3 linked regions of the Anolis sagrei genome follow. The protein of the gene in region 1 interacts with the protein of each later gene in a biochemical or structural test. Links are inferred from orthologs where the notes say so. Each region holds a gene or a part of one and is shown on either strand. Other genes may lie near its edges.

What was found.
Region 2: the proteins of BMPR2 (region 1) and GDF2 form a complex in vitro, tested with the Homo sapiens proteins (2 studies listed by BioGRID). The link is inferred for Anolis sagrei from reciprocal best matches to the Homo sapiens genes BMPR2 and GDF2.
Region 3: the proteins of BMPR2 (region 1) and GDF5 form a complex in vitro, tested with the Homo sapiens proteins (2 studies listed by BioGRID and IntAct, with this or other methods). The link is inferred for Anolis sagrei from reciprocal best matches to the Homo sapiens genes BMPR2 and GDF5.

Annotation. Positions count from the first base shown.
Region 1 is NC_090021.1:165,346,670-165,356,687, forward strand, and holds the start of BMPR2 (bone morphogenetic protein receptor type-2), read left to right. Parts: upstream 1-5,193; 5' UTR 5,194-6,267; coding exon 6,268-6,343; intron 6,344-10,018. UniProt on the Homo sapiens protein: On ligand binding, forms a receptor complex consisting of two type II and two type I transmembrane serine/threonine kinases.
Region 2 is NC_090023.1:142,236,319-142,246,872, reverse strand, and holds the start of GDF2 (growth/differentiation factor 2), read left to right. Parts: upstream 1-6,663; 5' UTR 6,664-6,817; coding exon 6,818-7,154; intron 7,155-10,418; coding exon 10,419-10,554. UniProt on the Homo sapiens protein: Potent circulating inhibitor of angiogenesis. Signals through the type I activin receptor ACVRL1 but not other Alks. Signaling through SMAD1 in endothelial cells requires TGF-beta coreceptor endoglin/ENG.
Region 3 is NC_090024.1:206,779,677-206,789,817, reverse strand, and holds the start of GDF5 (growth/differentiation factor 5), read left to right. Parts: upstream 1-6,250; 5' UTR 6,251-6,679; coding exon 6,680-7,316; intron 7,317-9,216; coding exon 9,217-10,085; 3' UTR 10,086-10,141. UniProt on the Homo sapiens protein: Growth factor involved in bone and cartilage formation. During cartilage development regulates differentiation of chondrogenic tissue through two pathways.

The sequences.
Region 1 (10,018 bases):
AGATTGGCAGATGCCAACTATTAAGCATCTTTGCAAACAACGCATACCAGTATGTTGACATGATGAAATAAATCACAGGCAGCTTAGCATGGTTGCAAACATAATGCAGGGAGCGAATGGATAATTTGTTGGAGCAATCTCACCCTATGGGCTTGTTAGCTCATTTTCGTAATGAAACTCTGAATATTAAGGTTGGTTGCATAATGCATTGGACTTACCCTATTTCTTTGAAGATGTTATTTTAAAAGGGCAACACTCCCCTGTATATACATTACAATATATAGGTTGTATAATACATTAGGATGCAGCAAACACTTCTATAAAGGACATGGGAGCCCCGTGAACACACAGCTAGTTGTAAAAACGCAGCTGATGGTTTGAACTGGAAAACTTCTGCTTAAATGTGATTTAACCAAATGACTTCAAGCCAGTAACTCTCAGCTTTAGTTGCTATCATTGTATACAGCTCCAGTGTAGTGGATTGGATGTGTGATTATGACTCTGGAGACCAGGGTTCAAAGCCTCATTCAGTCATGGACATCCAATAGATGACTTTGGGTGTATCACATTCTCTCAGCTTCAGTGGGAGGAAAAGGCAAACCACCTCTGAACAAATCTTGGCAAGAAAACCTTATGATACATTGACTGTAGGGTTACCATAGATCAGAAATGACCTAAAGGCATACAATACTAGCCAACCTAGGCCCTTTCTACACTGTTATATAATCCAGGTTAACAAAGCAAATAGTCAACATTATCTGTTTTGAACTAGATTATGAGTCTACACTCATAATCCAGTTCAAAGCAGATAATTTGGATTCTATATGGCAGTGTAGGTGAGGCAATGTGGATTTTATATGACACTGTAGTTGGTACTTTTGACTCCCAATTGGTCTTGCTTCAACCTTTCTATTTACGGTCCTATGCAACCTGGGGGGGTGGGGGCTGAGTCTGAGTGAAAGAGGGTCTACCCTAGCAAACCTTTTGTATCGTTACCCCAATACCCCCGTGCATATGGGATAGATTGAGCATGGTGATCAGATCATGATATGAATAAACACAACAGTTTAAATAATGTACCAGTAATTTATTTATTTAAAACTTGTAAACCCCAGTCTTCTCAACCTCCACAGAGGGACTCAGGCCAGCTAACAGCAGAAAATCAATACACAAATACAACTAAAAACATACTAACATCACAATAAGTTAAATACAAACAAAATAAATACATAATGCCAAATCGCCAAGATAAAATCATGTTCATCTCAATCCGCCAGTGTGGTCAGTAGTTATTAGGTTATTGCTGAACTCCGCAATCGTTCTGAGAATGCTATGTCCCAGAGCCAGGATTTCACTAGCTTTCTGAAGATCAGGAGGGAAGGGGCAGATCTAATCTCCATTGGGAGAGAGTTCCACAGCCAAGGGGCCACCACCGAGAAGGCCCTTTCTCTCGTCCCCACCAGACGCGATTGCGAGTGTGGTGTGACCGAGAGCAGGGCCCCTCCAGAAGATCTTAGCAACCTTGATGGTGCATAGGGGAGAATCTGTTCAGACAGGTAAACTGGGCCAGAACCGTTTATTTATTTATTTATTTGGAGTGCTTCTACCCCGCCCTTCTCAACCCCCTAGGGGGGACTCAGGGCGGCTTACCAAAGGCACAATTCGATGCCTAACAATTCACAAAATACAATATACAATTTAACATCAACAGTTATTACTAGTTAAAACAATCAAATCAATACAATAACAGCAATAAAATCATTTTGTGGTCAATGTTTGCCGATTTATAAATCCATAATCCATCCAGCATTGTCATTGTCCTTTCCTACTCTGGTCGTCATTGTCTTTTGTCCATCTGCCAGCTTACCCGAAGGCCTGGTCCCAAATCCAGGTTTTTAACTTCCTCCTGAAGGAGAGGAGGGATGTTGATTACCTAATTTCCCCGGGGAGTGAATTCCACAGGCGAGGGGCCACCACCGAGAAGGCCCTGTCCCTCGTCCCCACCAGTCTCACTTGTGATAAAAGTGGGGCCGAGAGCAGGACCCCCCCGGAAGATCTTAAACTCCGAGGTGGGACGTAGAGGGATATATGTTCAGACAGGTACGCTGGGATTAGTATAGAATTAATAAGGCCTTCTCGCGGACCACCATGAGAATTTGGGGGGGGGGGGAGCTGAAGCCCCTCAAGCCCCTCCCTCCGCTACATGTCTGGTGGTGGGGTATCAATAAAGTTTAATAATAATAATAATAGCAGCAAAACTGCATTAATTCCAGTGTTAAGATCAGGCATGGGCAAACTTGGGCCATCCCTCCAGGTGTTTTGGACTTCAACTCCCACCGGCTGTTTGGAATTGTGGGAGTTGAAGTCCAAAACACCTGGAGGGATGGCCCAAGTTTGCCCATGCCTGGCTGTTAGGAATTGTGGGAGTTGAAGTCCAAAACACCTGGAGGGATGGCCCAAGTTTGCCCATGCCTGGCTGTTAGGAATTGTGGGAGTTGAAGTCCAAAACACCTGGAGGGATGGCCCAAGTTTGCCCATGCCTGGCTGTTAGGAATTGTGGGAGTTGAAGTCCAAAACACCTGGAGGGATGGCCCAAGTTTGCCCATGCCTGGCTGTTAGGAATTGTGGGAGTTGAAGTCCAAAACACCTGGAGGGATGGCCCAAGTTTGCCCATGCCTGGCTGTTAGGAATTGTGGGAATTGAAGTCCAAAACACCTGGAGGGATGCCCCAAGTTTGCCCATGCCTGGCTGTTAGGAATTGGGGGAGTTGAAGTCCAAAACACCTGGAGGGATGGCCCAAGTTTGCCCATGCCTGGCTGTTAGGAATTGGGGGAGTTGAAGTCCAAAACACCTGGAGGGATGGCCCAAGTTTGCCCATGCCTGGCTGTTAGGAATTGTGGGAGTTGAAGTCCAAAACACCTGGAGGGGTGGCCCAAGTTTGCCCATGCCTGGCTGTTAGGAATTGTGGGAGTTGAAGTCCAAAACACCTGGAGGGATGGCCCAAGTTTGCCCATGCCTGGCTGTTAGGAATTGTGGGAGTTGAAGTCCAAAACACCTGGAGGGATGGCCCAAGTTTGCCCATGCCTGGCTGTTAGGAATTGTGGGAGTTGAAGTCCAAAACACCTGGAGGGATGGCCCAAGTTTGCCCATGCCTGGCTGTTAGGAATTGTGGGAGTTGAAGTCCAAAACACCTGGAGGGATGGCCCAAGTTTGCCCATGCCTGGCTGTTAGGAATTGGGGGAGTTGAAGTCCAAAACACCTGGAGGGATGGCCCAAGTTTGCCCATGCCTGGCTGTTAGGAATTGGGGGAGTTGAAGTCCAAAACACCTGGAGGGATGCCCCAAGTTTGCCCATGCCTGGCTGTTAGGAATTGTGGGAGTTGAAGTCCAAAACACCTGGAGGGATGGCCCAAGTTTGCCCATGCCTGGCTGTTAGGAATTGGGGGAGTTGAAGTCCAAAACACCTGGAGGGATGGCCCAAGTTTGCCCATGCCTGGCTGTTAGGAATTGGGGGAGTTGAAGTCCAAAACACCTGGAGGGATGGCCCAAGTTTGCCCATGCCTGGCTGTTAGGAATTGTGGGAGTTGAAGTCCAAAACACCTGGAGGGATGCCCCAAGTTTGCCCATGCCTGGCTGTTAGGAATTGTGGGAGTTGAAGTCCAAAACACCTGGAGGGATGGCCCAAGTTTGCCCATGCCTGGCTGTTAGGAATTGTGGGAGTTGAAGTCCAAAACACCTGGAGGGATGGCCCAAGTTTGCCCATGCCTGGCTGTTAGGAATTGTGGGAGTTGAAGTCCAAAACACCTGGAGGGATGCCCCAAGTTTGCCCATGCCTGGCTGTTAGGAATTGTGGGAGTTGAAGTCCAAAACACCTGGAGGGATGGCCCAAGTTTGCCCATGCCTGGCTGTTAGGAATTGGGGGAGTTGAAGTCCAAAACACCTGGAGGGATGGCCCAAGTTTGCCCATGCCTGGCTGTTAGGAATTGGGGGAGTTGAAGTCCAAAACACCTGGAGGGATGGCCCAAGTTTGCCCATGCCTGGCTGTTAGGAATTGTGGGAGTTGAAGTCCAAAACACCTGGAGGGATGGCCCAAGTTTGCCCATGCCTGGCTGTTAGGAATTGTGGGAGTTGAAGTCCAAAACACCTGGAGGGATGGCCCAAGTTTGCCCATGCCTGGCTGTTAGGAATTGTGGGAGTTGAAGTCCAAAACACCTGGAGGGATGGCCCAAGTTTGCCCATGCCTGGCTGTTAGGAATTGTGGGAGTTGAAGTCCAAAACACCTGGAGGGATGGCCCAAGTTTGCCCATGCCTGGCGGTTAGGAATTGTGGGAGTTGAAGTCCAAAACACCTGGAGGGATGGCCCAAGTTTGCCCATGCCTGGCGGTTAGGAATTGTGGGAGTTGAAGTCCAAAACACCTGGAGGGATGGCCCAAGTTTGCCCATGCCTGGCTGTTAGGAATTGTGGGAGTTGAAGTCCAAAACACCTGGAGGGATGGCCCAAGTTTGCCCATGCCTGGCGGTTAGGAATTGTGGGAGTTGAAGTCCAAAACACCTGGAGGGATGGCCCAAGTTTGCCCATGCCTGGCGGTTAGGAATTGTGGGAGTTGAAGTCCAAAACACCTGGAGGGATGGCCCAAGTTTGCCCATGCCTGGCTGTTAGGAATTGTGGGAGTTGAAGTCCAAAACACCTGGAGGGATGGCCCAAGTTTGCCCATGCCTGGCTGTTAGGAATTGTGGGAGTTGAAGTCCAAAACACCTGGAGGGATGGCCCAAGTTTGCCCATGCCTGGCATGGATACATCTTATATACAATGCTTGAGATTTTTACAAAAAGCAATCTTGAGATGTGAATCAGGCCCTCAAGCCAATTAACATCCTAGGGTTGAAGAAGGCGCCTTCTCACGGAGATGGGGGAAAAAAAACCCAAAGGGGAGGCAAAACAAAATCTCCTCCTGCCCTTCCCACGCACTTTCCCTCCAGGCCGCCGATCTGGCAAACATGGAACTCTTCGCAACATGGCGGTGCGGGAGGGGCGCGGAAAACAAAAAAAACTGGGAGGAGAGCGTCGTTACGTGCCGCCACTCTAGGCTGGAACTGGAAGGGGAGAGGGAGGAGTTGGAAGGGAAGGAGGCGCGCGAGGAGGGAGGAGGAAAGGGGGCGTGGCCAAAGCGAGAGGCGTCGGCGGCGCTGGCGGCGAAGGGGGCGGGGCTTCGTGGCGCCCACGGGCCGGGCACAGAAAGACTGCCAGTTTCGCCGCGGCTCCCCTTTGTGTCTGGTCTGAAAAGGAATAGGAAAAAAAAAGCAGCTTTGGTAGCGCGCGCGGTGGGGGAGGGAGGGCGCATGCGCGCGCGCGCGCGAGGGGGGCTGCGCGAGACTCCACTATTCGCCTCGAGAAACGGCCAAAAAGGAAGGCGAGCCTGTGAAGAAAGGAGGCGACGGGACTGTGAGGGAGAGAGAAGGAAAGAAAGAAAGAAAGAAAGAAAGGCTCGGCCTGGCGCTGTTGGGACCTGTGTGAGGGAGAGGCCTCTGCTGAGCTGAGCGGAAGAAGGGGAAGAAGAAGAAAAGGAGGCCTTTTTTCCCCCGACTTGCAACTGAAGAGGTCCTTTCTGTGGAGGACCAAAAATGGGCCTTGCTTTCTTTTGGGCTGGTTGAAGCCAAGGACAGGGCAGCTCTGATTTGCTCATTGCCTCCCTCACAGAAGAAGCACAGAGGCGCCTTCCTCTCTTTCTCCTCCTTGTAATACTATGTATATATAGAGAGAATCTATATATCTATATCTACGATACACACTAATATCCTTGTAATATATTTTCCTGTGTGTGGTGGTGGGGGGTGTTCTTCGTGTTTTTCAACCTCCCTTTGAGGGAAGCTGCTTCTCCTGACAGTCTTCAACCATCCTCTTCATTCCCCTCTGGATATGATTCATTGGAAACCAAAGCGGGGCATTGATCCTGTGAAGAAGACGCGTGGGAATTCTTAATCTGGGTTTTCCAGCCTCGCAGGGATGGTCCTGTATCTGGGGAGAGGATCCCCCATACTGGTTTGAGGACCCCCCTCCCGTGAAGCCCTGAAAGATGAAGGCAGATTCGCGTCGTGGAGTCAGAAGAGCTCGGGCGGCTCCTGGCCAGACCTCGCCTTTGCCCTTCCCGGCTGGATTGTAAACCAGGAAGGTTGTCGACTCTCTGGCGGCCGGAAGGGTTCCTCCCAGTTGGCCTTGTTTTCGAGGGAAATCGCGCCCATCAGGCCCCCTTCCCTGGGTCCCTCCAAATATGACTGCCTTGCTGCAGCACCTTTGGCGGGTGCTGCTCTTCGCCAGTGCCACCTTACTCCTCAGCACTGCGGCTGGTAAGTAGCCAGTGGGTGTAACCCGGCAGCATGATCTGCTCATGAATTAAACCGGATTACCCGGGTTTAAAACCCATTTCGTTCCAGGGCCCTCCTGCACAGACATATAACCCAGAACATCAAGGCAGAATAACCCACAAAAATCTGCTTTGAACTGGAATATCTGAGTCCACACTGACATATATCCCAGTTCAGAGCAGATAATGTGGGATTTTATTCAGCTGTGTGGATGTGGCCCCAGTGGAAAAAAAGGAATGGTTGTGTATTTCAATACATTGGTTCAACCGGTTCTAGAGGTAACAGCTAGGCTGCTACAAAAGAAGGGGGTGCGGCTGGCCAATATTCAGATCTGTCCCTTTAAAATGTCTGCATCATTCTCTTGGAAATGGGAATAATTACCAGGTGCTGGTTTCTATTTTGCAGGGTTTGGGTGAACAATTTTTGTTGTTGTATGTTTCTCATTGTAGATATGTCTCAAGGTCTCTTATGATGTGGAATGACAATATAACACAATGAAAAAATATTCAATTTCATGAGTATCAAATCTTTATTCACAACAGTGAGGTTACTAGTTCTTTATGTATGTACCTTGGGAAGTCAGACTTGGCCATGGTGGTCCATGTGCAGGTTACATCTCGTATAGACTACTGCAACGCGCTTTACATGGGGTTGTTTTTGAAGATTGTTCGGAAGCTTCAACTAATCCAAGGCGAGGCAGCCAGATTGCTAACTGGAGCTGCATATATGGAGCACACAACTCCCCTGTTGCACCAGCTTCACTGGCTGCAGGTTTGCTGTCGAGCACAATTCAAAGTGCTGGCTTTGGCATATAAGGCCCTGAATGGCCTCGGCCCACCTTACCTATCCGAACACATTTCCCTCCATGAACCATCACTGAGGTTATGATCTTCTGGGGAGGCCCTGTTCTCAGTTCTGCCACCTTCATCGGCACGACCGGTGGGGATGAGAGACAGGGCCTTCACAGTGGTGGCTCCTGGGCTGTGGAACTCCCTCCCTAGTAGGATTCAATCGGCCCCTTCCCTCCTGTCATTTCGCAAACAAGTGAAATCTCCTCTTTGAGAGCAAGTATTTGACCCAGCATAATTATCTGTGCAATACAGTTGGAATTCATCCTGGCTTGATGAATATGATTATTTGATTATCTGGCTTTGGATGTATGCACGATTGTCGTCTATTCTTTACATATGTTGTTTAATGTTGTTTTAAATTTTTGTTTAATTGCTTTTAATTGTTGTTGTTGTTTGGGCATGGAATAACGCCAATTATGTAAGCTGCCCTGAGTCGCCTTCAGGGTGAGAAAGGTGGGATATAAATGTTGTAAATAAATAAATAAATGATTATTACTCTTTGTATACAATGTTTTAAACACATGCGAGACAATATATGTCATCTGGATTTTAAAGAAAATTATTTGACAAAATCTGCCATGAAATAGTCAGCTGAACATAAATATAAGTTCTGGTGCACAATGCAATATCTGAAATATATTTGCACACTGAGTGATGTTAATCTTGTTGGTTTTGTTCATTACTAGCTTTGTTCTACATCTACATACATGGACAAGGAATGGGAGTATAGTTCATGCTTTGGTACTGTGGAGAAGCCTGATAGTGGCACACTGTAGCTTGGGAGATAGAAATAAAAGAACTCTCTGAAGTGCTGAGACATCATTATGCTTTTAATTATCTTTCCTGCATGCACTTATCCAAATGCTTAGGCTGTAATAATATACATGCTTACTTGAGAGTATGTTCTACTGAAGTCAGTGAAACTTATTGTTGAGTAGGTAGAGTATTCCTCTGTTAGAAACCTAAAACATCTGCCTAACACCATATTACTTTCTTTTAGTTCTCTCTCTCTCTTTTTTTTTTTGAATTTGTAGTGCATTTGTTCAATAGAGAAGCAAATACTGTGGAAAATTACTTTAAATGCATTGAAGAAATAGGCTTAAGGATGTGTTAATTTTTAAAGTAGATCTTCAAGATTTCAGAATCTTTTGTGATTGTTAACAAATGTCACATAGAACAAGTTAATGAGGACTTACTTTTGAAATCTGTGTAGTATCCTTTTAATATTATTTTGCCCAGATACTTACTTACTTAGGCGATCCCTCGTTGGATGAGTAAGATGGTCTTCCATCATGGGTTTCCCTGTGGGTCCGTATGTGGCTGTGGAGCCCTATTCTTGCTCTGCATCTTCTTCCGCAGTGAGGGCATTGGTTTCCAGGTGGAAGGCGGTCCCGGTTGGGGTTGGCTTGACGTGCCTTCCTCCTGGCATGTTTCTCTCTTTCACCCTTCACTCGTGCCTCCTTGAATTCTGCAGCACTGCTGGTCACAGCTGACCTCCAGCTGGAGCGCTCAAGGGCCAGGGCTTCCCAGTTCTCAGTGTCTATGCCAGAGTTTTTAAGGTTGACTTTGAGCCCATCTTTAAATCTCTTTTCCTGTCCACCAACGTTCCATTTTCCGCTCTTAAGTTCAGAGTAGAGCAGCTGCTTTGGGAGACGGTGGTCAGGCATCCGGACAACGTGGCCGGCCCAGCGGAATTGATGTTGGAGGACCATCGCTTCAATGCTGGTGGTCTTTGCTTCTTCCAGCACACTGACGTTTGTCCGCTTGTCTTCCCAAGAGATTTGCAGGATTTTCCAGAGGCAGCGCTGATGGAATCATTCCAGGAGCTGCATGTGACGTCTGTAGACAGTCCACGTTTCACAGGCATATAGCAGGGTTGGGAGGACAATAGCTTTATAGACAAGCACCTTGGTATCCCTACGGATGTCCCGGTCCTCAAACACTCTCTGCTTCATTCGGGAAAATGCTGCACTTGCAGAGCTCAGGCGGTGTTGTATTTCGGCGTCGATGTTGACTTTGGTGGAGAGGTGGCTGCCGAGGTATCCGCTTGCCCAGATATCAAATTGGATAAATATGAATAATGAATAATTCTAAAAAATTTTTTTCAGAAGAACAGTGTGCTATATATTTAGACCTAAATTTAGTTGCTGCTTGTAGGTCCAGTTGCTGAATATATGTTACCATTTACATAAATCTCATTGATTTAACATGTTTGCTCTGGTTGGGATTGACAATTTTTAAGGTTTTAAAATTTTTCAGAAGTCTCCTTGGAAAATTGTGAGTTAAAATGTATGGAATATTTACACTAGTAAGGTAAACATTGGCTGTGTCATTGGTATTTAAAACTGGAGCTTTCTATTGTAGTTATTTCGTTTGAAGAATTAGCTCTTGATTTTTACATTGAATATAACAAATATAATTAAACTATTCCATGATTTAATCTGCTAAAATGCCTTTTCTATGACCCAATTACCAAAATGTTGAAATACTTGCATGCTAAAAACAGCATGCTAAAAAGATTAAGGATAATTGCTTTGGTTTGTGCTTCTTAGGAAGTAAAACAACTGTGTGTTCTGTATAGTTGTTGGTAATTATCCTCCGGTTTGACAGCATACCCATTATTAATCACAGGCTTGGGAAGTTCCCAAGAACAATCTAGTCTGTCTTCTTACATCAGAAAAATTTCTGGCATCTGCCTATCTAATATCTTTTGGAAACTCAGACAGTAGAGGTACTTGGCTAAACAAAGTAATTGCTGAATAACCTTTGCAGTTTAGATGTATATCCTGCAAAGATAGCATATCTT
Region 2 (10,554 bases), on another chromosome or scaffold:
GAAGCAACTCAAAAGTGGTTCCTTTAGTTGAGCTGCTACTGTGGCCAAAGTCCCTTTGTTGCTGGGCCAACTGGACATCCAGGAACTGTGGAACTCCCTGCTGCAGTTCAGATCAGCTTGAAGGCAGGGGTCTGTGTGTTGCCCAGTATCCGTTGCTTTCAAGTCTCATGAAAGTGTTTGGGTGTCTTGTAAGCTGTCCTCTCTCTTTTCATTTTTTCACCTCTATGCATTTCACATAAATTACTCTTAGCACTTGTTTCCTACGATTGAACATAAGAGAAATTTGAGCCCTGATTCAATTGTACTTCATACTAAGGAAGGCATTAGCCAAACTGACAGCACCGTGTACACCTAAAGCATATCATTTGTCTTCATTATGTTCTACCTTCCTTCAGTACCTTGACAGGAATTTCTCATTTAAAGATGATAAGAATCATTATTGTTGAGAGAGAAAATAATGCATCACAGGCCCCACATGGAGACTTTGGGAGCAATCTGTATTCATTAATGTTCTCACAAATTATCTTTCCCTGATTAAAATGTGTGTGAGAGGCATCACAGCTGGACTGCTTAATTTGGCTTGATGAGTCCACTTGCATCTCTCCAGGTTGTCATTAAAGGCGGCTAATAGAAGGTAAGCACTACACATTTTTCACAAGTTCGTCAATCTGAAACTTCAAAAGAAGTGTTTTTTTTTGTATCTATATTTGGGAGGGGCAGGGGTGGGGAAGAGAAAATAATCACAATCATGATCATAATACACGTTATTTATATTCCACTTTATCTCCCCGGAGGGACTCAGAGCGGATTACAATATACACATATGAGACAAACATTCTATGCCTTTTACACACTGTGAACAACAACATACAACACAGACAAAGATAAAGGCCTTCCCCTTTTTCCATCTCTGGCATCTGGAGGTGATGCTCAACTCCAGCTATGGGGAGGTGCTCTTGTTCCATTTTTCCATGCCAAGGAGCCTGTTGTCCATAGACATCTCTGATTGTGTTGCCGGCATGTCTGCATATCTGCATGGGGCACCCTTTTACCTTCCCAATGAGGGAGTACCTATTGATCTACTCGCATTGCATACTTTAGAACTGCTAGGTTGGCAGAAGGTAGGGCTGACAGTTGGGAACTCACCCTGACTTGCGGCTTTGAACTGCTGACTTTCCGGTCAGCAGATTTCCTGCAGCTAGCGGTTTAACCCACTGTGCTACCGTGGCCCCTGGGTTTCTTATAGTGACATTTCCTAGAGATGCTATCTATGTTTCATTAAAAATATACAAAGATTTTTAGGCCCAACATCTGGAAACATTTTATATTTCTAGGCTTCTGTGTGCCCTCCACATTGTTGTTCAAGTTGTAAAATTGTCACAAACGAGGTTGGCGGGGACGAGAGACAGGGCCTTCTCAGTGGTGGCCCCCCGCCTGTGGAATTCACTCCTTGGGGAAATTAGATCATTGTCATCCCTCCTCTCTTTCAGAAGGAAATTAAAAACATGGATATGGGACCAGGCCTTTGGATAATCTGGCAGACTGACAATGGACAATGACGACTAAAGCTTTGGAAATGGACTATGATAAGCAGAATGAATTTATTAATTACAGACTTGGCAAAACGATGGCCACCAGGCTGGCATTTTATTGTATTTTTATTGTATTAATGTAATGTTTTAACTGTTATAATTTATTGTTACTATGTATTTTACTGTGTGAATTGTAGGCATCAACGTATGCCAGTTGGAAGCCGCCCTGTGTCCTCCTTCGGGGATTGAGAAGGGCGGGGTAGAAATACCTGAAATAAATAAATAATAAATAATTTTAGACTGGTAAATAGGAAGCATCCCTGTTAAATGAATGTGAAGGCTAATTTTTCTTCTCAGTATATCAACATGTCTTCATTCTACTTCTCTGAGAGCTGCTGCATGAGTTTGTGGATGGAATGTGTGAAATGGAAAAGATCTTCATATTTTGAATATAAAGTCTGGGCACTGGGCCAGGACAGAGATATGGCAGGTGCCAAGTTTTTGTAATCTTGGTGCAATTAGACCAACTGCTGCTTTCTCCAGCAAAAAAAGCACTGAACTTGGATGGAAGGCTATTTTCAGAGAATCTGTCAAAAGGGGTCATAAGGACTCAAGTGGTGATAGTGGAAATTCTCTCTCCCAGTGAGCAGAGGCAGAAGCATTTATTTATTTACTTACTTCATTTATATCCAGTCCTTCTCAACCACACAGGGGACTCAGGGAGGCTTACAACAACCTGTTTATTGAATCTTATGTTTTTATTTCCAAATGTTCTAACTGTCATGTCCCTGCCATCTGTCAGGGATATTTTGACTGTGCCTTTCCTGCATGGCAGGGGTTGGACTAGATTACCCATGTGGTCTCTTCCAACTCTATTATTCTATTATTCTATGTACAGGCATATGTCAGTTCAGGAAACAAGGCTATCAAAATCTGAGAATATGGATGCAGTGGTACCTATGGTATGATATAGTTAAAATTAAAGCTAACTTTACTAATAATTATGTTAGACAAACTGCTCACTGGAGGGAAAGATACTAGAGACAAAGTTGAAGTACTTTGGCCACATCATGAGGAGACAGGAAAGCCTAGAGAAGACAATTATGCTGGGGAAAGTGGAAGGCAAAAGGAAGAGGGGCCGACCAAGGGCAAGATGGATGGATGGCATCCTTGAAGTGACTGGACTGACCTTGAGGGAGCTGGGGATGGTGACGGCCGACAGGGAGCTCTGGCGTGGACTGGTCCATGAAGTCACGAAGAGTCGGAGACGACTGAACGAATGAACAACAACATGTTAGACAAAGTGTTTTTAGCATTCAAAGTTTCAGAAGTGCTCAGGAGTGCATTTGCACAACTAAAACCAGAGGCGGCCCTAGATAATTTTCAACGGTAAGCAAACAGTATTTTGCCCCCCCCCCCCCAAAACCAATCACTGATATATATTTTCTGTTCGTGGTGGGAGTTATGTGTGCCATATTTGGTTCAATTCCATCATTGGTGGAGTTCAGAATGCTCTTTGATTGTAGGTGAACTATACATCCCAGTAACTACAACTTGCATATGTCAAGGCTTTTTTCCCCCCTCAAGAGCGCCTCATGAGCGCCCCTGGGCAAAATCAACTATACTGCAAATGCTTACTTTGCGTAATGGGTTGAGCCGCCCCTGGCTAAAACTAATGTGCCAGTGATGCCTACTCCTTAAGACATCAGAGCTGGCTACAGTGACACGTGCCTGGATTGTATTCTCTTTGGAGCAATATAATGTGCTCCACATGGGTTGTCTTTGAAAACTGTTCAGAAACTTCAGCAGGTCCAAAGTATTGCTGCCAGAATGATGGCTGTGGTCAGTTATACGGAGCATATAATTCCCTTGTTAAAACAGTTGCACTGGTCATCAGTTCATTTCTGGGCCCAATTCATAGTGTTGATCAAGACCTATAAAATCCTCTGTGGCTTAGATCAAGACTAGTGAAAAAAATATGTCTCCTCACACAAGTCTACTATGGTTCTGACGAAGGTTTGCGCTCAGTCTCCCAACATTGCACACTCGCTTGGTGAGGACAAAATAGTCTTCTCAGTGGCTGCTGCCATCTTCTGCAGGAAGCTAGGTTTGCCCTTTCATTGTTTTTCTTTTCCCAGCAGGCAAAGGCCTTTTCGTTTAAGCAGATTTGAAATATATAAGCCAGGAAGTTTTTTTTTAGTAAGAGCTTTTATTTGTCTTTTTAAACTTTGTATGTTTTTTTACATTATTTTATTGTTTTATGTAGTGATTTAAATAGTTTTAAAATTTATTCTGGGAGAAGACATACAAAGGCATACAAATGAAGCTGATACACACATACAAACAGGCATCCATAATAATGTTGTTTGTTATATAGAGCTAAAAAAGATCTCCAAAGTAAGGGTGGCTTGTATCATATGAAATCAGGAAGATTCATAGATACATAAACCTCACTTGCCTAGTTTCCAACAGACCTCACAAACTCTGAGGATGCCTACCATAGATAATAATAATAATAATAATAATAATAATAATAATAATACTTTATTTATACCCCGCCACCATCTCCCCAAGGGACTTGGAGTGGCTTACATGAGGCCAAGCCCAACAACACATCAGTAAAAATAACAAGCAATAAGCAAATAAACAATACAATTAATATAACTCACATATAGACAATAATACAAAAAGATTTAAAAACCTATGGCCGGGCCAGACGTAATAGTTAAAATTTTAAAAATAACTAGCTGTGCCCTGCCACGCGTTGCTGTGGCCTATAGTAAAACTTATCAAAGTTGAGGTAGATATCTGGACTATTATGAAAGAGAGGTCCCTACCTATTCCTTCCCCCTTTTCCTCCCCCTTTCTCTCCTTTCTTCCTTCTCTACCTCTTTCTTTCTTTCCTTCTTTCACTACTTGGTTTCATCCTTCTCTCTTTCCTTCATTCCTTCCCCCTTTCTTCCTTTGCCTTTCTTCCCTCCCTGTTTGCTTCCTTCTTTCACTTTTTATTTCCTTTTATTTCACCACCATCATAACAATAACAATAATGCAATGCATTGCCTCCGGGACCTGACACCTCTCCCATCATTCCCCCTAAAAGGGTCTCATAGGAACAATAGCATAATAATAATAATAGAAATAACAACCTTTACCCGCCACGTGTTGCTGTGGCCAATCTTCCCTCCTTCTCTCCTTCTTTCCCTCCCTCCCTCCCTCCCTCCCTCCCTCCCTCCTTCCTTCCTTCCTTCCTTCCTTCCCATCTTTCCTTCTCCTCTTCTTTCTCTATCTCTTTCCTTAGTTCCCCCTTTTTCTTTCTCTTCTGCTGTCTCTCTTTTCTTTCCTTCCATCTTTCCTTTTCTTTCCTTTTCTTCTTCCTCTAACTTTCCTTCCTTCCCCCTTTTTGTTTACCTCCCTTTCTCTTTCTTCCTTCTTTCCTTCCTTCCTGTCTTTCCTAGATTTTGACAGGGCGGGAAGGGGCGGGGTGGGGTTTGGAGGTGGCGTGAAGTAAAAGGCGGTAAGATTGGGGCAGGGGAGTGATGGAGCGTGGGGTTGCGTGTGTGTGTGCGGCAGCGGGGGAAGTGATGGAGCGTGGGGTTGTGTGTGTGTGCGGCGGTGGGGGGAGTGATGGAGCGTGGGGTTGCGTGTGTGTGTGTGTGGCGACGGGGGGAGTTGGGTTGCGTGTGTGTATGCGGCGGCGGGGGGAGTGATGGAGCGTGGGGTTGCGTGTGTGTGTGCGGCAGGGTGTGTGTGTGTGCGGGAAGCGGCACGGCGGGGCTTGGAGTGGGAATGGTTTCCGCAGAGGGAACGTTGGCCGGAAGGCCATGTGCGCGCGCCAGGGAACTTGTGGCTGGGCGCCAATGCGCATGCTCAGTTGTTTTGCCGTTTTGTGAGTGTGTTGTTGTGTTGTTTTTCATTTTGAGTAGATATGTTTGTACCTTGTGGGGTGTGTTATGGGCACGGGAATTTTGGTTAAGTTTCGTTGGGGGATTTTTGAGTTTTGTTGTTTTGCTGTTTTGTGAGTGTGTGTTTTTCATTTTGAGTAGATATGTTTGTACCTTGTGGGTTGTGTTATGGGCACGGGGATTTTGGTTAAGTTTCGTTGGGGGATTTTTGAGTTTTGTTGTTTTGCCGTTTTGTGAGTGTGTTGTTGTGTTGTTTTTCATTTTGAGTAGGTATGTTTGTACCTTGTGGGTTGGGTTATGGGCACGGGGATTTTGGTTAAGTTTTATTGGGGGATTTTTGAGTTTTGTTGTTTTGCCGTTTTGTGAGTGTGTTGTTGTGTTGTTTTTCATTTTGAGTAGATATGTTTGTACCTTGTGGGTTGTGTTATGGGCACGGGGATTTTGGTTAAGTTTCGTTGGGGTTTTTTTGAGTTTTGTTGTTTTGCCGTTTTGTGAGTGTGTTGTTGTGTTGTTTTTCATTTTGAGTAGATATGTTTGTACCTTGTGGGTTGTGTTATGGGCATGGGAATTTTGGTTAAGTTTCGTTGGGGGGTTTTTGAGTTTTGTTTCCTCGTTGGATGCCCCTAACAAATTTATATATATAGATGTGGGAAAATTTTCAGGAGAGAATGCTTCTGGAACATGGCCATAGAGCCATGTTCCAGAAGCAACCCAATCAGCAACCCGATCAGCAACCTGATTGGGTTGCAACTCATAGCAACCCGATCAGACTCCCCTCCCCCCCCACAAACAACAGCAAGTCACTTGACTGAGAAATGAAAATATTTAAACGTTTATTTAACAATAATGGGATTATTTCTTGCCACAATAAAGCTCCTACATATGTGACTTTTTGAATGGTATGTCAAGATATTTTAGAACAGGTATTATTTCTTTCTTTTTATCTTAATTCTGTATGCTGTGGGAAACAAGAGGAAACTTCGTCCTAATGCCTTCCCCCAGACATCTTAAAATGAATATTGTTTGCTGGCAAGAAAATGATAAAGGAACATAATTAGGCAATGGTGACCGCAAAGAGGAACATGGATTCTTTTCTGGGTGCTATGTGCTTCTACCGACCATATGTACTTGTCTTATGTTTACAGAATATTCATTAGTGAAGAGCGCGGATAGATAAGAGACTGTGGTCAAGATAAGGGCAAGTGTATGGCCAATCTGCTTGATGATTCACAAGGGGCTAGCACTGGAAAAAACACGGCTGCAATGCAGCTTGAGAAAGTGGTCAGCCATTGGCATTCTGTGTTTGCATTTCAGACTTCAGTCAGCCTGCTCCCCTGGATCCTTACTGTATTATACCCTCGTTTAAAACAGGATTCATGAAAAATGTATTATTTCGGGGCCTTCACTCTTCTAAACATCATGATACCTTTGACAAGTGGGAAACCCATGGAAGCCCGGGACAGATTACTTACAACCCCAAACTCCCATGAATATTCTGGTGACATTGGGAGCGTGGAGGGAGAAGCCCAATTTGACTTTAAATCGTTTCTGGAGACTTTGAAAGCTGATTTCCTGAGGAACTTGAACTTGTCAGAAGTACCTTCAGAAGAGAAGATGAAAGAGGAACCACCACAATTCATGATTGATTTGTATAATAGATATAGCAAGGACAAGTCTACCAGCCCCATATCCAATATTGTGCGCAGCTTCAGTCCTGAAGGTAGGAGTTTTGGCTTTCCCCCACCCTCAACCCAAACATCTAGGCTAAGATCTTCCCCAGGCATCTTAGTGCCTTGTGTTCCCAGGAAATCTTAATTGTTTTTTTTAAATGCTCTACTAACAATTTTGTGTCATCTGTTTTCTTATATTATTTGTGAAATAGCCATTTAAAAAATCTTAAGGAGTTGGATGCATGAAACTAAGGAAAATAATATTTTTGACCTTATTTCTCCTCCAGCTCATTTAGATAGAAAGAAATTAATAGAAAAGAAAAAAAATCTGTGTAAAAACCATTTTCTCAGACTGGAACAATCTCCACATATTAGGAAAATGTCTAGTCCATATTAAATGACATAAAAGGAATCAATGTAATTTTCAGATGTTACAAAGGGAAATGTGAGAAAAGTTCTGCCTCAGTGGCCATAGAATAGAATAGGAATGAAGGCCAACCTTTCTGAGCTTTATGGCAGATAACAATGATCCCACCTCCAAACCAAAGAGTTATACTTTCAGCAGTGACCAAATTGAGATGCATCAAAAAGTTCATAATTAGTACAACTTATCAAGAAAGTACTCTTAGCTATTGGTAATTCTCTTTTGCAAACCACAGGAGGCAACTAGAAATATTTTCATTGCTTCACCTATGTGAATAGGAATACTTAAAAAAAAAACTCCAAGGGAATTCCACTTGAACATTAGGAAAAACTTCCTGATTGTGAGAGCTGTTCAGCAGTGGAACTCTCTGCCCCAGAGTGTGGTGGAGGCTCCTCCTTTGGAGGCTTTTAAACAGAGGCTGGATGGCCATCTGTCAGGGGTGCTTTGAATATGATTTTCCTGCTTCTTGGCAGGGGGTTGCTCTGGATGGCCCACGAGGTCTCTTCCATGATTCTATGAATATACCTTAATAATATCAGTATTAATCACAATCTAGGAAGAAGTGGAATAAATCAAAATTAGATGGCAGAACAATCAAAATATTATGGATTTAGCAATATTATGGATTTAGCAAGTATGCCTGCTGACAGAGAAAGGCCAGGAAGTCTTGAGGAAGGCAAGCAGGGACAGAGCTATCTTGGTCTCTCTTGGGAGGGGGTTCCACAGTATAAAAGCAGCCACCGAAAAGGCCCTCTCCTGTGTTCCCACCAAACACACTTGAGCAGGTGATGGTACAGAGAGAAGGTTGTCGCGTGTTGATTGTAGATGCCTCAGAGGTTCATAGAAAGAGATACAGTCCTTCAGATAACCTAAGACATATAAGGCTTTATAGGTCAAAACCTGCAATTTGAATGTATTAGCAGCCATAAGACCTGTTGTAACAGTGGAGTTGTACACTGCCTGTAGACAGTCCCAGTTAGCAGTCTCCCTCAGATAGCAGCGTTTAAAGCCCTCCTGGTCAGGTTTGTGTATTTCTTCACAAAAATCTTCCTGCTAATCTCTCTGAGGCACAAGCCATTCCTTGACAGAAGCTCAATGCAAGTAAACCATAGACCATGGACTCAGAAGCCAAACAGTTCCATCATCTGAGGATAAGGTTATTCACGTCTATTATCCTTTCCCTTCCTGGGTTGTTTCCTTAAAGTGGGAGGAAGATGAACTGGGATTCAAGGCCCATCCAACTTACTTCCTATGGCCTCATAATCCCATGTGATCTCTCAAAGGCTATTTCTTGTAGTGTCATTGGTTCCCACATGAACCAAAAGGAAGGAGTAATGGTCTGTAGGCTTTACAAGCCTTATCATCCTTTTGGTTACATCTTGGATTTTTTATCTAGGAAGACAGCACACTCTTGGGTCATCCTGTCACATCTGCAAACCACTGTTTCTGGTCCGCTATCACCATCACACATCTTTTGGCAGGGGTCATTGCATGTGCTGACTCTTCCAGGGGCATCCTGAGGAAATTGGTTGCTTCCACTATATTGGGTATTGCTGCAAGTAATGACAGTGTGAATAAATTGTCGAAATTTGCTTGAGATAGTGCTTGCAGTTCTGGAGGAACTCATTTAATTGTTGACAATGAAAGGGGGTTGCATTTTACATAAGCACAATATATCCCATCAGTGAGACTTGGGTACTCCAGGCTTGCATACATTACCCGTTTAGCCCACTTCCTGTCCCAAGGACTGAGATTAATTAAGTCTTTTTATATAGATTTGCAGTTCCAGATATACTTTAAGGGTTGATTTCATTTGATATAAGTCATACAATTTCATAAAAGTTGATTTCATACACAAGAGGAGATATAGCTGCCTGGACTTTTCCAGAGTTGAGGTGGAGAGGCATTTTGGAATTGCAAAATTGGTAAAATAAAAAATAAAATAAATTCATGTTTAATTCATCTCTGTTCATTTGTGTTTAATAAATTTCTCAATAACATTGTGACTTCCTTGGTGAAGTCTACTCATCTGAGAGACTATCTCTTTTTGTACTGCCCTCCCCTTTATCAAGCATTATTGTCTCTTCTTGTGGATCATGTCTTCTCAAAATATTTTATTTTAACCTGCTTCCTCCCAGGTTTTAAGTAAGTGTAGAAGGGCCCTAAGTCTCACTTTGGGATTTTTATTGTGCTTCAGCAGAGGTGGGTGTCTACAATGCATCCTACATTTTGCAGAACTATATTGCCCTGGATCCTGGATACATAAGGATCAGTTTCAGCATATTTTTTTGACTGAACACAAATTTCACTGGGACTTTTAAAGTGCTGTATCGCCTTTACAAATTGTAGCACACATTGCTATTTTAAGGTCATCGCAGCCTCAAGTTAGCTTCAAACCACATTATATGTTCAGTGCAAAGCACCCTAAGTTCTACCACTCTCATAGGTATCGTTGGTGAGGCCATAACAAAAAGCTTTCTCATACTATGGAAAGCTTCTAGCCTGGGTTCAACTCTGCTCTCCTACTGGCAGATAAACACCTTATGTGAAGAGTCTTGTGGGAGTACTGTTGATGGTGTTTTAATTCTTCTTTTGATGTTAATATGGCAATCGCTTTTTCCGGTGGAATAACCTATTGGTTATTACATTTATTCCCTTTGGTTTCTATTTACTTTATTATCTTCTATTTTCTATTGCTGTTCTAACTTACCATGGATCATAATCCCAGAGAAAAGTGGATAAAAAACAAATGAAACTAAATAATATTTAAATTAAAACAGCAAGCTATTGATCAAGGCACTGAAGATTCAAGACTAACATATACTTCCTGAGAAATTTCACATTATGGCAAGTAGTCATGATAATAGTGTTTATCGGTTTTCTTCTCCAGATATTACTTCTCTTTCTCCTCTGGAAATGAATCCATTTCAGAAATACATTTTGCTGTTCAATGTCTCCATCCCATGGCATGAAGATGTCACCAGAGCCGAATTCAGAATCCACACTGACTGTCAAAAGGGCACAAA
Region 3 (10,141 bases), on another chromosome or scaffold:
GTTGTTCTGTATTAGCAATGCTGGTGCTGTGCCCACTGTCAGAACGCATGTATATATTTGGCTGGAGTTACACTTAAAAATGTACCTGTTCCAACTTACAACTAAATTCAATTTAAGAACATAACCTACATAACCTATCTTGTTCATAACTTGGGTATGCCTGTACTAACAGGAGTAGCTGTATGCCTTCAAGTCATACTATACAATTGCATTATGCCAGCAGTTGTTTAATGTCACCCATCATGATGTGAATAGCCACTATCCCACAGGATAGTGACAATAGAGCAGTGGTTCTCAACTTGTGGGTCTTCTCATATTTTGGCCTTCAACCTCCAGAAATTCTGACAGCTGGTAAACTGGCTGGGATTTCTGGGAGTTGTAGGCCAAAACACCTGGGAACCCACAGGTTGAGAACCACTGCTCCTAAATAAATTCTCATAAGCATGGCTTTTGAAACTCTTTGCTCTCTTTGTCACCCTCCTCTAGATACACTGCAGCTTCCCAACCTATTTCTTAAACTTTGGTGTCTAGAACTGGAGAAAGTATTCCATGTCCTATGAGGAATGGTGGATGGTATTTATTGCGTTTAGCTATGAGGAGAAGATTGTGTGATTTTATAATCTCTCCTCCTATGTAATGTGCAGCCTTCCTCTCCCATCTCTAAAATTACCCCTGAAAGATTCAACATAGATTTCAACATGAAACCCCAAGGTCTCATGCATGAAGCAGAGTTGTACAGTAGAGTTTCACTTATCCACCATAAACGGGCCGGCAGAACATTGGATAAGCAAAAATGTTGGATAATAAGCAGGGATTAAGGAAAAGCCTATGAAACATCAAATTATGTTATGATTTTACAAATTAAACACCAAAACATAATGTTTTACAACAAATCAACAGAAAAAGCAATTCAATACATGGTAATGTTATATAGTAATTACTGTATTTACGAATTTAGCACCAAAATATTGGAATGTATTGAAACAGCTGTGGATCCAGGCGGGAGGCAAACTGCGTTGGATAATACAGAACATTGGTTGGATAAGCGAGAGTCTACTGTACTTATTTTTCCTCTATTGCTCTCAAGCTTATTGTCACATCACTTCCCTCCTTCTGTCACCTCTGCTTCTGTCACATTTTGTGGTGCTCACCATGTTGCTTAATTGTAGATATACTCTAATTCCTTATATGTGTTCACATCCGTGAAGTAAAGAGGGAGAAAGAGAGAGATAAAGATACACTTATTTCCATATTCCAAGACTATATCCAGCCCTTTAGACTATCATAATTCTAAAGGGCTGGATATAGTCTTGTCTCTGGGGGAATTCATGGTTTGGGGGCATCGGTGTGAGCTTTGCTCAGAGCGTTCTTTGTCAAACTGCAGAAACTCCCTTCGCTTTAATTTCTGTAAAATTGCTCAGTCCTTAAATTGCTGTGTCAGCACAAAAAGCTATATAGCTCATTAGTGGTTTGAGAACTGCAGGCTCTGTTTGTACAATGGAAATCATGCTGGTCGGTCATGCTGTTGAAGTACTGTTAGTAAGAAAATTAGTGCTTGATGTATATTCTTTTAAACATTTCAGCTTCTGATCATGGTCAACATCAATTCCTTGCAAGGGACAAATATCTAAGCCTTAAAATTTAAGGGGAAAAATCTCACACACAAATATATATATTTTAAAATGTCTTATTTCTAAACAAGAATATTTTCTGAAATATTCTTATTTTTTTATCTTTGTGTATGCATGCAAAGGGTTGTGATGGTGCAGTGGGTTAAACTACTAATCTGCAGAACTTGCTGACTGGAAGGTCAGCAGTTCAAATCCTTGAGATGGAGTGAGCTCCTGTTATTAGCCCCAGCTCCGGCAGTTTGAAAACATGCAAATATGAATAGATCAATAGGTACTACTTCGGCAGAAAGCTAATGGCGCTCCATTTCAAAGTCATGTCAGCCACATGACCTACGGGCAATGCCAGCTCTTCAGCTTAGAAAAGGAGACAAGCACCACCCCTCAGAGTGGGACCCAACTAGACTTAATATCAAGGGAAACCTTTACCTTTACCTATGCATGAGAGAGAGAGTGTGTCCTATGTTATTTATATATTTGTTGCACTTTAAAACCACCATTAGCTAAAGTTCTCTAAGCTCTGTACAGTGTGTTGAAATACAGAATACAACAATATAATATGGAATGGAACACACCTGAAACAAATTCAGATATGCAGATATAGCTGAACAAAGTTACTATTACAGGACTAAGGAACTAAAAGTTAAATACCTAGCAATAGTTGGTGCATCCAATAACATATTTACCTACAGTTATTGTTATTTATTCACACCCCTAACAAAGTCTGGGAGAAATTTTAGTATATTGATAGACCCATTTCTGGAATATGAAACCTGAACAGAAAGAAAAACACAAGAGAGCCGTTGAAAGTAACAAAATATTTTTTAAAAAAAATATATATACAATTAGGCAAAGCATTAACACATTTTGGAGCTTGCTTCTGTATGTGAAGTCACCTGTGAGCACAGTGAAGGTTTTTTTGCACAGCAATTTCCCAAGATCCCATCTTGGAAGGATTAGAAGTATCCAGAACTACAGGAGAAGCAATTGTCATCCCCCGCCACAAATCATCACTTTTATTCTGATATTAGAAATGGAAATACCAAGAAAACGGTGGAAGAATATTTCAACGTTGTTGGTCATTCCATCCCAGACCTCCAAGGTACAGTTCATTAACAGAACACTTTTAATGGAGATGGAAAAGAAAAAAAGCTGAACGGGTATATATTCACAAATCCCAGTCCATTAATGGAGATATGAAGGCAAACAATTTTTATTGGCTAATGGCATATATTTAAATATGACTTTAATCACTGTTACATTTGTAACGATAGGATTCTCCCCATGCCAGCTTATTGATGGAGCCCCCGGTGGCACAGTGGGTTAAACCCTTGTGCTAGCAGAACTGCTAACTGATAGGTCAGCGGTTCAAATCTGGGGAGGGTGGGTTGAGCTCCCTCTGTCAGCTCCAGCTCCCCATGCGGGGACATGAGAGAAGCTTCCCACAAGGATGGTAAAACATCAAACATCCAGGCATCCCCTAGGCAACGTCTTTGCAGACAGTCAATTATCTCACACCAGAAGCAACTTGCAGTTTCTCAAGTCGCTCCTGACACACAAAAAAGAAGCTTATTGATGGCATTTTACTGTTTCTGTGCCAATGTACTAGCCAAATATTTTTCTACACTATGCATATATTTACCTGCTTATCTATGCTTATATACATGTGCATGTCTGTATGTTCACAGTTTACATTACTAATTTGCATTCTAATTTTCAAATAATGATAATGATGATATCATGCATGACCCTTCTCAATCACTGGATCTTTTCGCCATAATTATTTTTATTGATAGCAAAAAGGTACAATCACAAAAAGTAATTGAGACTGACTGCCATCTGATTCACAGGAGGAAATGAAAAGGAAGGTAAGAAAAAAACAAAGCAGTTGCAGGAGGAAAAAGCAGGGTGAGTTTTCCTTCAGAAATGCAGAATTTTTTTTTGTAACTACTAGAATAGAATAGAATTTAACTTTCCTTTTCCTGTTCCCTGTTTCCTCACAATATATGAACTAATCAGTTTATTTGTGGTAAGAATTCCATGCCATCACCCAGCTATTCGTGATTAATTACCAGTTGATGTTTGTACTTTTAATATTTCAGTTTCCTCTCACCTCACTTAATGACCTGCTCCCATCCAACAATGTGTGTAATCATCTGTCAGCTGAGACAACACTTCATGAATCTGTTGAAATGGGCTGCAGTTTACAAAGCTTTATGGCAAATAAAACTTATTAAAGCTTGCAAGTAGACACTACTGTTTTGCTCCAACAGAGTAACACTGTTACACTCAGAAAGTATTTGGTTTCATTAAAAAGAATCAAACAAAATATTAATCTGGTATGACAAATAGGGTTGCCAAATCTCAGCATCTGATCCTAAGCCTCAAATTTTCATTGGTTATTTCCAAGCAAGACACGAGGGTACAAATTCTGCAGTTTTGGTGAACTCAGCACCAGACTATCTTAAATAGTAGAATTGCAGTTTCCTAGAATTTGCAAGGGTTGTACTGTTGATGCATCTTGCAAACATTCTTCGTGGGGTGGGGGGTGTCTATGTATTTAGTTAGTTCCCACCATCCCTCCTGGCATCAAGATTTAGCCTCCATTCTGCATCCATCTTTTGGCTTAAATATTTCTTATGCTCCTTATCCTAACCACCTAATTTCACATTGATTTAATTACAACCCCTTTAGCAAAGTTTTTTTCCCTATATTTCTAAACAGCATAATATAGTGTGTGAGTAATTATCATGGGTACCTAATGCATAATGCTTGACACCACCAAAGACCATTCCTAGGTCCCAGATTTTGGCCTATGGACTTGTGTTTCTGAGATAGTTCTGAAATGGTGATCCTAGTGGCCAGCCTACCTCCACTGACTACATTAAATAAATGTAGAGTTAGTCCTTCCACATTTGAATCTGTTCCTCCAAAATCTCAGGTCAAAATAATCTGACTCAGTAAGCTTCGATCTGTTTACCCATCCATCCATCCTCACCTCTGGCCTTTTCTCAGCTTCTGCTTTCCTCTGAGTTGCGTTACAGCATGCAAGAAATCAGTTAATGTGTGTGTTAATGGTAAAATAAGATGTATGAAGCTGATTGGTCGGGCTGTGCCTGGGGAACAAGCTAAGCCTGGGATTTTTGGTCACTGTTACATTTTTCAGGCTTGAGCTATGCAGGTGCTCTGAGAGACGCAGAGAGAAGAAGAGAGAAGCAGAGAGAGACAGCATTTAGAGTGTGTTCTTGCTTTATGAGCTGCTAAAGGAGTTTCTCCACATGGACAAAGAAAGACTATTTTAAATCTCTCATAAAAGCACATTATGTGAACTGATGTAACTGATCACATGACTGTACATATGTTGTTATGAACTACAAAGAGTAAACTACTTGTTCTTTATTGTTCATATTTTCTTTATCTGGCAAGGCAGTGTGTGGACTGATTAAATGTGAACTACATGTGGTTTATTTTACATTATGCCACAAGTTTCTCTCATAAGCTGGCTATCAAAGGAAGAGAGTACCAGGAGTGATAAATTACACCACTATGCTCTTCCTGGGAACCTGAGCTACTATTATCTTGCTTTTCTCCCTTTCAGTGCACCTACCTTGTCCCATTCATTTCTCTGGCCCTTGCCTATTGCTGCTGCCATTCCTTCCTTATCCACTCCTTACGCTCTGCACTGCACCATCCACCTTCCCTTTCCTCTTTGTGCTACCACATCAACTTCCTTTACACCTTGTGTCACCTTCTCCTCTCTGTCTTGCTCATTACCTTCCTTCCCTCCTTCTTCTCTTTAAGGCATTTCTATCCCTTCTTTATGTGGTCCATCCCATTATTCAGTAGTCGAAAACTGGAAAGAGTGATAAGCCTTTAAACCAAATATCACATTTGTATCCAAGTTATTTAAGATAATAGGATTTAGCTCCAGAATATGGTATTGAGATCCCTTAATGCTTCCAGTGTATAGAAGGTCCATGTTCCTGGAACAAATGTTGCTGCCTAACAATGAATGTCTATGGACTTCCAAAGTCAACCAGGGAACATATTAATATAACAGAATATACAATATATTCCCTGGAAATGTATCAGATTATTTTTTTTCTTGTTTCAGTGTGTCATAATGTTTTAAAATGCTTAGCAGGGATGACTACATTTTGTTAATACTCTTGTTCACTTCTGTGCTGTCATCACCAACCCAAAGAATGAAATTGCTGCTGAGAAAATACTGGGTTCTATGTTCAGAGCTTTATAAAAACAGCTGTGAATTAGATATTATTCACAGAGATCAATATTGTTATTTAGACATGATCTTGCTAAAAGCGTGTACTGTTTTATCTTATGTGACTCTGTCTTGTTTCAAATGAGAAGTTCATTTAAGGCTAAAATAGGCAACATGTTGCCACTTTAAATTGCATATTCTATAGATTTTTTGGTCCTACAGAGTTATTTTACATGAAGCAGGGTATGACTCATGCTAATGGAAAGGGCAAAGAAGACTTTTTAAAAGAAATATATCACACTTAAATTAGTTTAGACAGCATGACATCAGAGAGTAATTAAATAGGTTTTTGTTGGAATTCCGCTTCCAATTCCTGAGTTCAGGTTTGTAAAAGATTTCTGAGCACCTGCAGGTTTCTGTGTGTGAAATATTTTCACTGGAAGGGATTCAAAACTTTTTTAAAAACCTTTTAACACAGAGGCAGCATTACGCCATTCTTCCTTCTTGGAAAAAAAAACCCTCTCCGATTTAAACAAGAGTCCTTCAAGTTTTTAGTCACTTTTACAGAAGAAAGGGGGGTAGTAAACTTTCTCTTTTCAAGAACAGGCTGCTAGCAGAAACCAGGAGAAGACGGAACGGAGTAAATGAGCATCTCCACTATGGGACTGGATACAAAGATTGGACAAGTAGATTTAAAGTGTTTTAAGCTGAAAATAAAGCTTTTCCTGCTGACTTTGGTTTTCAATTTCTTTCATGTTTTCTTATGCCAAACTAGAAGAGGAATCTTTTCTGAATTTTTCTTTGGAGGCATTCAAAGGAAGACCAGAGGATGAAAATCTTGCACTTTCTTACTTTACTGCTTTGGCACTTTTGTTGGTTTCATCTCGTTCTCATCTCCTTAGTGTTGAGTCCTGCTGAAGCAAGTCAAGGGAATCCAGGAGCCAAATTAGCTGTATCAAAAGTAGATGGAAAAGAGAGGAACCCTTTGCCAAGGGCAGGTACCTTTAGAACGGGAAGCCATGGATATAGCACTGGGAATTCCAAGCCAAGGACAAAAACCAACACTGCTCAAGCTGGAACTCTCGTGGCAAAAACTGATGACTCAAAGAAGGCTCTCCCTAAAGCAGGGAGCACAGACAAAAAGGTAGGAGGACATCCTCCAAACAGGCAAACTGGAGTGAGAACAGTGACTCCAAAGGTTCAGAACTTTGGCCCCAAAGCCCCACCGAAGAAAACTGGCACAGGGAATTCTGATGCCAGCTCTTATAAAAACAAAAAGCCTAAAGACTCTATTGCCCAAAGAGAATCTAAAGAGTCATTAAGACATCCTGCTATCACACCCCACGAATACATGCTTTCCTTATACAGGACTCTGTCTGATGCGGAAAGAAAAGGTGTGAACGGAAGTGTGAAACTGGAGACCGGACTTGCCAATACAATCACAAGCTTCATAGACAAGGGACAAGGTAAGAAAAGCTAATGTTTGGAGATATATTAATGTGCATTTGTTGAATATGAATGCTTCCTTTTTTTGTATTTATGGAAAGATGTAAAACGTGGCTGATTGCACACATTTTCATGTTTACAATGCAGATTTAAAGAGCATTTTCAGCATCAGAACTGGGATTTTGTAGATGGTTTATGCCGTTACTGTATACTACTAGTAATTTTAAGGCTATTTGGCACAAGGATTTAAAAATAATATATTCTGTGGAATGTGCATCAAAAAAAATATGATGGCGACAGAATGTATCTAGATGCATTATCGCTGGGACTTTAGTCAATATGAAACTTTCAATGGGTTCAACTCTTTAAGTTTGGATCTAAACAATTACTTCTCCAGCAGCAAGACCAGATCAATCAATATCTATTCAAGCTTTAACTATAAAGGCGGACTTAAGAAGAACAAGAATCAGGCCACCTCTAAATCTTTTTTTTTTTTTTGGGGGGGGGGGATCTGTAGAAATGAAATGAAATTAAATATACTTTGGTAAATATACATGTGATTTACTCTTGAATCCACTTTAAACCCAGTTGTTGCCTCCAGCACAATTCTAGGGTTTGTAGTTTAGGGAGGAGCCTTTAACAGCCTCACTAAACTATAAACCCCAGAATTCTGTAAGAGGCAGAAACTGGATTTAAAGTGGATCCATTCTCTAGTGTGATGAAGTAGTGACGATAACACTGGTAGAGGAATTTATGAGACCATTTGTATTTTTTTAGACCTTCACAAAGTCTATGTAACCTATATCAGAGCTTCAAAATTTTAGTTTTTTTCTGAAGTGGAACTCTCAAAATTTCCCAGCTAGTCAATATAATGATAGAGTCTAAGAAAGCACATTTTCCAAGCTCTGGATCAAGTGCTGAGTGCACAGTGCTCCCAGACAAGTGTCACTGGAAGGTGGGCTGCATACAACTTTGATTATGGAAAGTAGCTTTCATCCATCACAGATTCATGCATTCATTTTCACTGTAAAAGTTTTGGAAGTATGTAAACAAAGGCAAGGCTGTATATGAAGTACCATGAAGACTTTGGATGGCAATGCAATATACAGGTCGTGAAGGGGCTGGTTGTCAAGATTTAAAATATGGTAAGGCAAATATCTTTTTAGGTGATGGTACAGCTTAGATGCTTTATTTTCAAACTTTAAACATGCTTGACTGATGTGTGACTTTCTATTTTATTTTGTTTTCAGTCTGCCAGGGTTGTCTCCATTCATTTATCATAATGCATTACTAGTAAAGAAAGCCACAAACTCTCATTAACAGCCTAGTACAATAATTTTACATATATTTGAGTATAAGTTAACTTTCACTGATTAACCTTAATGTGGTGGAGGAAATGGCTCCTGACGATGAAGCAGAAATATTTCCATGTCTGAACTTGAATATTCTAGTAAACTTCTAATTCCTAACAGAGCTAATGTGTCATTTCAAATTACAGTAAAGTCTCACTTATCCAACATAAACAGGCCAGCAGAACATTGGATAAGTGAAAATGTTGGACAATAAGTGATTAAGGAAAAGTGTATTAAAACGTCAAATTACGTTATGATTTTACAAATTAAGAACCAAAACATCATGTTTTACAACAAATCGACAGAAAAATCAGTACAATGCACGGTAATGTTAGGTAGTAATTCTTGTATTATGAATTTAGCACCAAAACATTATAATGTATTGTAATAGCTGTGGATGCAGGTGGGAGGCAGACTGCATTGGATAATACAGAACGTTGGATGAGCAAAGGTTGGATAAGCGAGACTCTACTGTAACTGTAGACATTGTATGTTGTTTCAAAAAGCTGAAAACAAAAAGCAAATTTCTGTCTGAGATACATGAATGTCTTCCTTCTTTTCTCTTTAGATGACCGAGCTCCCACTGTAAAAAAGCAGAAATATATGTTTGATATCAGTGCCTTAGAAAAAGACGGCTTACTAGGAGCAGAACTTCGTATTTTGAGGAAAAAACCTTCAGATACCTGGAAGCCTCATCCTCATGGGAAAACATGCCAAGTGAAACTTTTCAGTTGCTCCACAAACCGGCAAGCGTCCATCCTCTTGGACTCTCGAACTGTCAATATCTTAGATACTGCAAAATGGGAAGTTTTTGACATTTGGAAACTTTTTAGGAATTTTAAAAACTCTGCTAACTTGTGTTTTGAACTGGAAGCTTTTGAAAGGGGGAGGCCTGTTGATTTAAGGACTGTGGGGTTTAATAGAACAGGGAGGCAAGTCAATGAAAAGGCTCTGTTTTTAGTGTTTGGTAGGACAAAGAAAAGAGACTTGTTCTTCAATGAAATCAAAGCCAGATCTGGCCAGGATGACAAAACTGTTTATGAATACCTATTCAATCAAAGAAGAAAGAGAAGGGCTCCTCTAGCAACTCGACAAGGAAAGAGGCCCAACAAGAATCTGAAGGCAAGATGTAGCAAAAAAGCACTGCATGTAAATTTTAAAGATATGGGATGGGATGACTGGATAATAGCACCTCTTGAGTATGAAGCTTATCATTGTGAAGGACTCTGTGAATTCCCTCTTCGGTCTCATCTGGAACCGACCAATCATGCTGTTATCCAAACATTAATGAACTCTATGGATCCAGAGTCAACGCCTCCAACTTGCTGCGTGCCAACAAGGCTGAGTCCCATTAGCATCCTGTTTATTGACTCTGCCAATAATGTGGTCTACAAACAATATGAAGACATGGTAGTGGAGTCATGTGGCTGTAGGTAGCAGCACAGCCTTTCACGTGGCTCTCTGGACAAAGCTTTTCCCAGCGGCTGATTTTA